Linked DNA regions of Nothobranchius furzeri. The protein of the gene in region 2 purifies or fractionates together with the protein of the main gene of each other region. This does not show direct contact. Links are inferred from orthologs where the notes say so. Each region holds a gene or a part of one and is shown on either strand. Other genes may lie near its edges. The genes, in order: naa38 and naa30.

Region 1 (3,655 bases), about 35 Mb from region 2:
ACCAAGCGTCTTCCGCAGCGATCCGAGAGCCTCGTTTATAAATAAACGCTCTAGGCTGAGCTGGAGCTTGGGTTTCAGCATCATGAGTAGAATGTTTGGATAATATTTATCTGAAGTGTGGAACCAAACCACAGAGCAACACCTAAAGTAATAAACTGCTGTCTGTAAACGAGATTCGGGCATTGCGGCCGTGTGAGACACATATTTTCTGTTATGCTATTTTACGTTCTTCTTTGCACAAACTTAAGTTATTTTATAACTAACAGCCTTAAGACTGTAATAGCTTGTGTGTGAACCAAAATGTGACGGGTTCTTTGTTTTTAACTTGAAAAGATTTTGTTTTCTTTTTTTCCTTTGTGGCAAAAACATTTGTGGCCAAACTAAATCAGCTGATGTGCTCAAATGTATTAAAGTACAGAAACAATCCAGCTTAGCTTCTTTCTTTAAAGTAAATAAATCATTCTTGTTTATTTAGCTTTTTCCCTGATCTAAACTGACTTTTACACAAGCTTCACAGCAACAAAAACTTCAAGTAAACGTTTATTTTAAAATACTGCAACAAAACAAGACATTTATGCAAACACATACTTTCCCCCAGAGGCCTTTTCCACTTTTCCACTGTTCCTGTCAAATTTCTTTCAGTCATTATGGGAATGGCTAAATCCAGAGTGCAGTCAGGTTAAAATCCTGCAAACATGTCCCGATTTCTCCAGAACTCGCCTGACTAGGCAGGACCCAGTGAGTCCCAAGAGATTGCCAAACTGTCAGTGTGTGGCTCCGAATCCCTGTGTGTCCTCTAGAGTATCCACCTCTACCTCGATGGACACAACATGGTGACCGGGAATCATGGCTAGACCCAGGACTCTGGGTTCCCCCTGGGAGAATGTGTCTGAGAGGTAAACAAAGCAGGAAAAGATTATACTTGTGTAATAATATCATTATGCGGTTGTTGATCAACGTTGAGGCTTTTTCTGATGCTGTAAAACCTGAAATTTCTTAAGAGGTCACATTTTAACATGTTACCAGTTAACATCAAAGGGCGACCAAGTTCAGCTTGTTTGGTTACTAAAATAAAGAGAAAAACTGCTTTAGATGCTGGGATGAGCAAACAAAGTGAGTAAACAAATCAAGTTTGTGCATTTCAGAGGAACAGAGATGCTATTCCCAGGTTTTGGAATGATCAAAGTCTATAAACGTGTGCCCTAATTGGAGGAAACCCTAATTCATACCTGTAGATTTGAGAAATTCCTGAGCAGAACCCAGGATGACGTTACAGTCCCGATCTGTACAGAGGAAAAGGCCCACCAGAGTCCTTCCGTCTGTCATCCGGATCCTCATGTTCTTGTTGAGGAGTCCCTCTAGTTTCTGCCTAGCCTGGGAGGAGGATGACGAGGATGAGGAAGACACTTCAGATTGCTCCTGGGTGAGGGCAAAAATAAAAACACGGATAACTATTAAATCAGTTTAATTTTATCAAGAGCGTCAGAATTGTGTTATGTGCATTTAACCGTCTAAAAGCTTGCTGGTAACGACACTCATGATAACTCGGTAGCTAATCTAATATTTTATGTCGTTAGTTAACGACACTTAATTATTAATTATGTTCAGGTAAAATAATCAGTATTATGTTAATATCTGATAACGTTAAAACGATTTAACCAAATAAATTAGCTAGTAACGATAACGTGTGTTAGCTGCCAGCTAACATTTAGCTCCATTCGAAGCTCTAAAATAGATGCACTTTCTCTGTTTATAACCTTTTTGTTCCTCAATAAATTAAATAGAGAGCGGCAAAAACATCAGTGTGAAAAATAAAAGCTTCTTTGGAAACATACACGAGTTGAAGGTCCATTTTCCTCAATCATTGTTGCCATAACCTCGTCTCCTGCTGCTGTTGTTTACGGAGCGGTTTTACTGACGGACAAGCTTAACCGGAAGTTGCCGTACTTTTGTTTCTTTTTTTCTGAAACTGTTTACGGTTTGGTTTTAGGAAATAAAATCAATGCATGAAATAGGATTAGTCGTGTATTGTTTAAATAAAAATATATATCATTTTGGGGTTTTAATTGAAACGGAAACAAATTGGCATGAATTTCAAAATAAAACTCAAACTACAGCCTGTGAAAGTCCACGGTGATTTTTGATCACTTTGGTTTTTCTGTATTTTAGGGAAAAATTGACGTTTTCAAACAACTTGACTTTCAAAATGTTGTCTACCAAATATATCAAATAAACAGTTTATGAGTAACAGGGTCACACAAATAAATATGTTGCTCACTGAGGAAGTAAAGGCTTTAAAACTTTTAAAATTAGAATTTCAACGGGAAAATGACTTGTAGTTAATTTTAATATAAAAACAGGAACATTCAAGTGTTTAATATCAGCATGAATATCAGTGATATTTGTAAACTACGGGACACCTGAATGAACATTTACAAATGTTCTTGCAATATTTACCACAAGAGGGCGATGTAACATAGTTTAAAAGTCAAGCCTAGTGATGCGTCCACTGCCAGGTTTAATTCTACTTTCATCACTCGCTTCACAGTCTGGACCAGATTCAAATCCAACGTTGTTGAGTCCAATTCAGTATTATTAACTTAACTTTTTTAATATTTATTTTCATAATTTCAGTTCAGTAATTTTTGCTTTTCAATTTCAATTCAAGTCATTTTGGTCAAACTATTTAATTTTTTTTCTTCATTTTATTTAAAATAAAAAAAAATTGAACGTTTTATTTATTAATTTATTGATCTGATCCAATTCAAATCACTTTTGTTAAATATGATTTCATTTAGTTTAGTTTCCATCCATGCATTTTCCGCCGCTTATCCGGAGTCGGGTTGCGGGAGCAGTAGCCTAAGCAGGAAGGCCCAGACTTCCCTCTCCCAAGCCGCATGGGCCAGCACCTCCGGGGCATCCTAAGGTGTTCCCTGGCCGGCTGAGAGACACAGTCTCACCAGCGTGTCCTGGGTCATCCTTTAGGTCTTCTCCCAAGAGAGGAGTTTAAGTATCTTGGGGTCTTGTTTACGTGAGGGAAAGATGGAGCAAAAGATCCACAAGTGGATCGATTCTGCGTCTGCAGTGATGCGGGCGTTGTACCGGTCTGTCGTGGTGAAGAGAGAGCTGAGCCAGAAGGCAAAGTTCTCGATTTACCGGTCGATCTATGTTCCTGCCCTCACTTATGGTCACGAGCTTTAGGTAGTGACAGAAAGAACGAGATCACAGATACAAGCGGCTGAAATGAGTTTTCTCCGCAGGGTGTCTGGGCCCTCCTTTAGAGATAGGGTGAGAAGCTCGGTCATCCGGGAGGGGCTCGGAGTAGAGCAGCTCCTCCTCCACACCAACAGGAGCCAGTTGAGGTGGCTTAGGCATCTAGTTAGGATGCCCACCCTACATCTGTGCTGAGTGGGAGAGAACTTCCGTGGGAAGGAGGTTCAGGGATGTAGCTTAGCATCTGGGCCATGGTGGGATAGGCCAGGCCCAGGGAACACCTTGGGATTCCCCAGAGGAGCTGGCCCAAGTGGATAGGGAGAAGGAAGTCTGGGCCTCTGCTTGGGCGTCCGTCTCCGCGACCCGACCCAGGATAAGTAGAAGATGATGGATGAGTGTGTAGGTGATTCCCAGCCTGCCCCCCTCTCTGCTGTTATCTAAT
Region 2 (4,562 bases):
GATTATTTGTGAATATGAATTGTTTTAATGCAACTTTTATTTGATCGATTGAGGCCCTGTCCACACGTAGCCAGGGATCTGCCAAAACGTAGATATTTTTCTACGTTTTGGCCTGTCATCCACACGAAAACGGATCTTTTTAAAAACTCCGGCCAAAGTGAAGATCTGCGTTTTCTCCGTTTTGGGTGTCTGCGTGTGGACAGACAAAACCGGAGTTTTAAGGTCTGTAACGTCACTTTCCGCGACAAAAAATGCTGACATCACGTGTGCGACCTGTGTTTACACTAGCCGACAGCATGGATGACCTCAGAGCTGCGCTCGCTTTATCAATTGTCCAAGCGCTTTTTGCTCGTTTGTTTTTGCAAGCGGAATTACTGCTCCTTGCGTAAGACCACAGATGAAGGACAAGGTTAAGAACGGGGGAAGTACTGCCGCCTACAGGTCTGGCATGTCCTTAACAACGTATTTATCCGGGTACGTGTGGACAGAGTTTTTTTTAAACGAGGTGGTGTGGATGCAAGTTTTTGGAGGGGCGGATATTCGTTTTAAAAAAAAACAGCTACGTGTGGACTAGGCCTCAATGAATGAATGAAATAAAACATTGCAGGGAAAGTGCTGGAGCTAGACTGCAGCACCAGGCTGCCAGTCTGCAGTTGCAAGTGGAATATTCTGGCCACAGGGGGCGATAGGGACTGGGTGGTCTTTCATTAACCCTGTAGGGTCATTTTATCACATATTGGCTCAAGAAAATGATTTAAAAATATGAAAAAGTTACATAGTTTGACTTTAAGCACATTTTAGGTTAGATGACTTATGTCTTTAGAATCACAAAATGTAATAAAAGTTTCAAGTATTTGTTCAAAACAATCTCCAGTTTTTCAGGGTATCAAATAATTAGACTCCAAGTACCAAATTATGAGATGATCCAAGGTTGATTTTTCACTAAAGTCTCATCTTCTGAATTATTCTGACTCAGAAAAAAACAAACAAACCCAATTACTAACCTCTTATTAGATTGTATATCCTATTTATCTATGATTTATCATATATTAACACCATAACCGAAGATATTTAATGCATAAACCTCAAGCAGGTTTGAGACAACGTTTTTCTTGTGTGTGTCCAAGTCACCTCATCGCAGTCCCCCTCCACCATGGCATAGATGGCCTTTTTCACCAGATTAGTACCTGAAATGAGCAACAGAAGAAGTCGGTGACCCCAGACGAGAACCTCGTCTGCTCCGATACAGAACATTACGAGTCTTTTTTGGTTAAAAAGGAGTTTTGCGTAAACACATCTGCCCAAGACATTGGCCTACTACATGTGTGGCACTGTCGCAACAGGACAAGACTTTCTGGACATTGTGGACATCTCACCAATGCTTTTCCTTCTGTGTTTCGAGTCTACGGCCAGCATGGCAATGTAGCCGCGGCGGAACATCTTCTTATGCATGTCGAGCTTGCATACGATGGCTCCGACACACTCCTGCTCCACCATGGCCTGCGACAGACGCACACACTCAAGAGGTTAGGGACTTGTCAGTCTGTCAGATCTGCTGACTCCCTCTGATCTGCCCTCTGACCTTCATTTCGTCATCCCTCCTCATGTGGCCTTTACACACAAACTGGGATATTTACCACAGAGGGCACACAATCACAGGAACTTCCCAAATTTCATTACTTAACCTGATCCAATTTTACAGAACACGAGACACGACAGATGAGTCAAATGAAATGATCTGGGATATAAAGGGAGTATTTGAGTCTCCAAACCTGCTTTTTACATTGACGGGAGGTAAAAAGCCACGGGTGTGTAGCCACACCCAGCTCAAATACACGCTCAGCGACTTATCTTGTACATATTCCTGCTTTGGGCAAAGTCAGAGCGAGGTTAAGGCGGGTTTTACTCACCAGAAAGCAAAGCTGCGGCCAGTTATGGATGAAGTACCTGTACGTGTAAATAGAATAAGGCTCAGACAAGTCCTTGGTGATTAATCTCATGATCCAGGGCATCTGCAGCTCAGACTCGTAGCGGACGTAGCAGATGCCGTGGTTGTCCGCGTCCGCCCGGTCGGAGGAGCCGCTCAGGTCGAGCCGGGCCAGGTCCGCTGCCAGCGGCTGAGCTAGGCTGACCTCCCCGTGGGGCCCGTCGCCGTCCGGTGGCTCGTCGCTGGGCGGTCTCGGGGGCAGCGTGTGGTCGTGAGTCGCCGCAGTCCTCGTTAAACCCGGCATACCGTTCACGGAGGTGTTCATCAGAGGAGAGTGACTGCCGTTTTTGGAGAAGGGGCCTTCGTGTTGGCAGTGCTCCTTATTTTTTGTCGCGGCTGCTGTCCCCTCGCTGCCGCTGCTGTCACAGTTGTCCGCGGACGAGCTGAGATTGTCAGCCCGGCTCTCCTCCTGCTGATGGCTGTCACGGTCCTCCGAGGGACTGACCAAGCCGTTCAGCTGCTGCTGTTCTCGGGCTTGCACTTTCAGGTGCAGCGCCGCCGGGCTAGCTTGAGCTAGCATGCTTTTCCGCTTCTTCCTGACCGACCTTGTAACGTCGTTTTTCGGTTGTGACGTCTTCCCTGTACCGACTGGAACGCAGTCCTCCTCGTGGCAGGTCTGCTCTCCGTCTTCCACCGCCGCCTCCGCGCTCCCTTCCCCGGAGAAAGGAGAAACTGCAGCCGGGGATGAAAGCAGTGCGTTACCAGGCCCAGGCGGCACTGTGGCCATCCCACTGCATTAAAGTGGAGATTCACGCTTGGGAAACGTTAAACACGATTTCATCCACAAACCGAGAGGTTATACAATTTATATATGACAAAAAATGCCGACTATGGTGAAAATCCGAGGACTTTTGAGGCGGTAACGTATCCGCTGGCAACGCTTGCACTGCTTTCCCCTCGATTTCTCTGCTGCCGCAAAGCAGTCTCGCAGCGAAACTCTTTGCAACAGAATATGAAGTTTTACGACACTAGTGAAGGCCATGGCAACGCCTTTTTACCACCGGGGAAAGCTTGAAATTTGAGCTGCTGCAGACTGATTTGAGCAGATTCTGATTTTGATGCACGTGAACACAAACAAACAAACAAACAAACAAACAAACAAACAAATTAATTAATAAATAAAATCCCAACAAACAAACCAAGTCAAGAAGCACAAATCATGAATTATGTCAGGCATGGAAATTAAACAATGTAGCTACCATAAGAAGTTTTTATTGTTTTTTTTTTACTATCACAACTTGACAAACAGTTTTCTAACAAATGTACAAACTTTATACTATGGGGGAAATTTTGGATTGTAAATGTAATCAATTTTCACTCCTGATTGTTTTGCTCTTGTACATGCAATTGTTTTAAGTAGGAACAAAGATATGTTGTTCTTTGTTGTCTTTGTTGTATGCATGACTCTTGTAAATTAAATTAAATTAAATTTAAAACAAAAGCAAATATTAAAGTACTGTAAGATTGTGGGGGTTAATCAGCCCCCACAGCTGACTCATTTCTGCTCTCTCACCAGCAGAGGGCGTCAAAAAGCCATGGTTCAACTTTATACAACTGCACTACTCCAGTTTGACCAGCAGATGTCACCTGTAGACCAGCGTCGGACTCATCACGTTTACAAGTTGTTTTTTTGGGCGCGTGTGACTCCATAAACAGCCAACCATTGCAAAGTTTTGATTTTCCATCCCTATCTCACTTTTATTTCATCATCTACAGTTTATCTCTTATGCAGTATTTTTGTAAGGATAAACGCTCCAATCATGTGATTTCAGCACCACTCTGAAGTGGACAGCGACTTGTTTCTTTAACCATTCTTTCTATGTCTCAGTTTCTATACACCTCATTGTAAAGTTTACTCAGCTTAACTCTCTGATAGTTTTTGGAAGTAGCATATAATTTGACTGATAGAAAGCAACATCATGATCAATGCTTATGCAGCCAAAGAATAGACGTTTTACACAAAAATCGTTTTGTTTATGAAAACACTCGACAAAGAACAAAACAGAGCGGTTGAGCTGGAGTAAGATTCTTCTTTTAAAGCCAAGTCGTGAAGCAGAAACCTCACTGAAGAGCTGAAATCAGACCCCCCCCCCCACTCCCCCCAAAATCTCCTTTCCAGGCCTATCTACTTGAACAGGCTTCTCTTCTCTGTCACTTAGAGAGCCGTGCCTAGGACTAGGAGCACAAGTGTCCTTGCCAGAGACATTTGGCCGATTTTGAGTTCATTTGCACCTATCGTCGCTTTCACAAAAAATAAAAAACCATCCTGTGCCTCCATCTACCCCTCCACCACCACATTCCTTCCTTTTTTTAATTCTTCCCCCTTCTGCTTTCATTACACACTGCTCTAGTCTCTCTGCGGCTCTCTCCATCCTGTCTCAAACCTTTTCCAAATATCTCCAGGGTGTTGGTTGCATCACGTTACTGGTGCGCTTGTGATTACAGCTTTTGGCAGATGCGTTTTTACACAGAGTGAAAAAATACAAAACACGTGGAAACAAGCAGCGTGTGAAGAAGTCAGTAAAGAATTAAAGGGCAGGACGCTACACCTAATTTTTCTTTTAATTTCTTTATT

The links.
Region 1: the proteins of naa30 (region 2) and naa38 purify together in Homo sapiens (co-immunoprecipitation; 3 studies listed by BioGRID and IntAct, with this or other methods). This does not show direct contact. The link is inferred for Nothobranchius furzeri from reciprocal best matches to the Homo sapiens genes NAA30 and NAA38.

Annotation. Positions count from the first base shown.
Region 1 is NC_091742.1:58,740,006-58,743,660, reverse strand, and holds naa38 (N-alpha-acetyltransferase 38, NatC auxiliary subunit), read right to left. Parts: upstream 1,953-3,655; 5' UTR 1,875-1,952; coding exon 1,836-1,874; intron 1,420-1,835; coding exon 1,230-1,419; intron 890-1,229; coding exon 765-889; 3' UTR 528-764; downstream 1-527.
Region 2 is NC_091742.1:23,665,342-23,669,903, forward strand, and holds the start of naa30 (N-alpha-acetyltransferase 30), read right to left. Parts: upstream 3,083-4,562; 5' UTR 2,715-3,082; coding exon 1,911-2,714; intron 1,501-1,910; coding exon 1,377-1,500; intron 1,188-1,376; coding exon 1,132-1,187; intron 1-1,131. UniProt on the Homo sapiens protein: Catalytic subunit of the N-terminal acetyltransferase C (NatC) complex. Catalyzes acetylation of the N-terminal methionine residues of peptides beginning with Met-Leu-Ala and Met-Leu-Gly.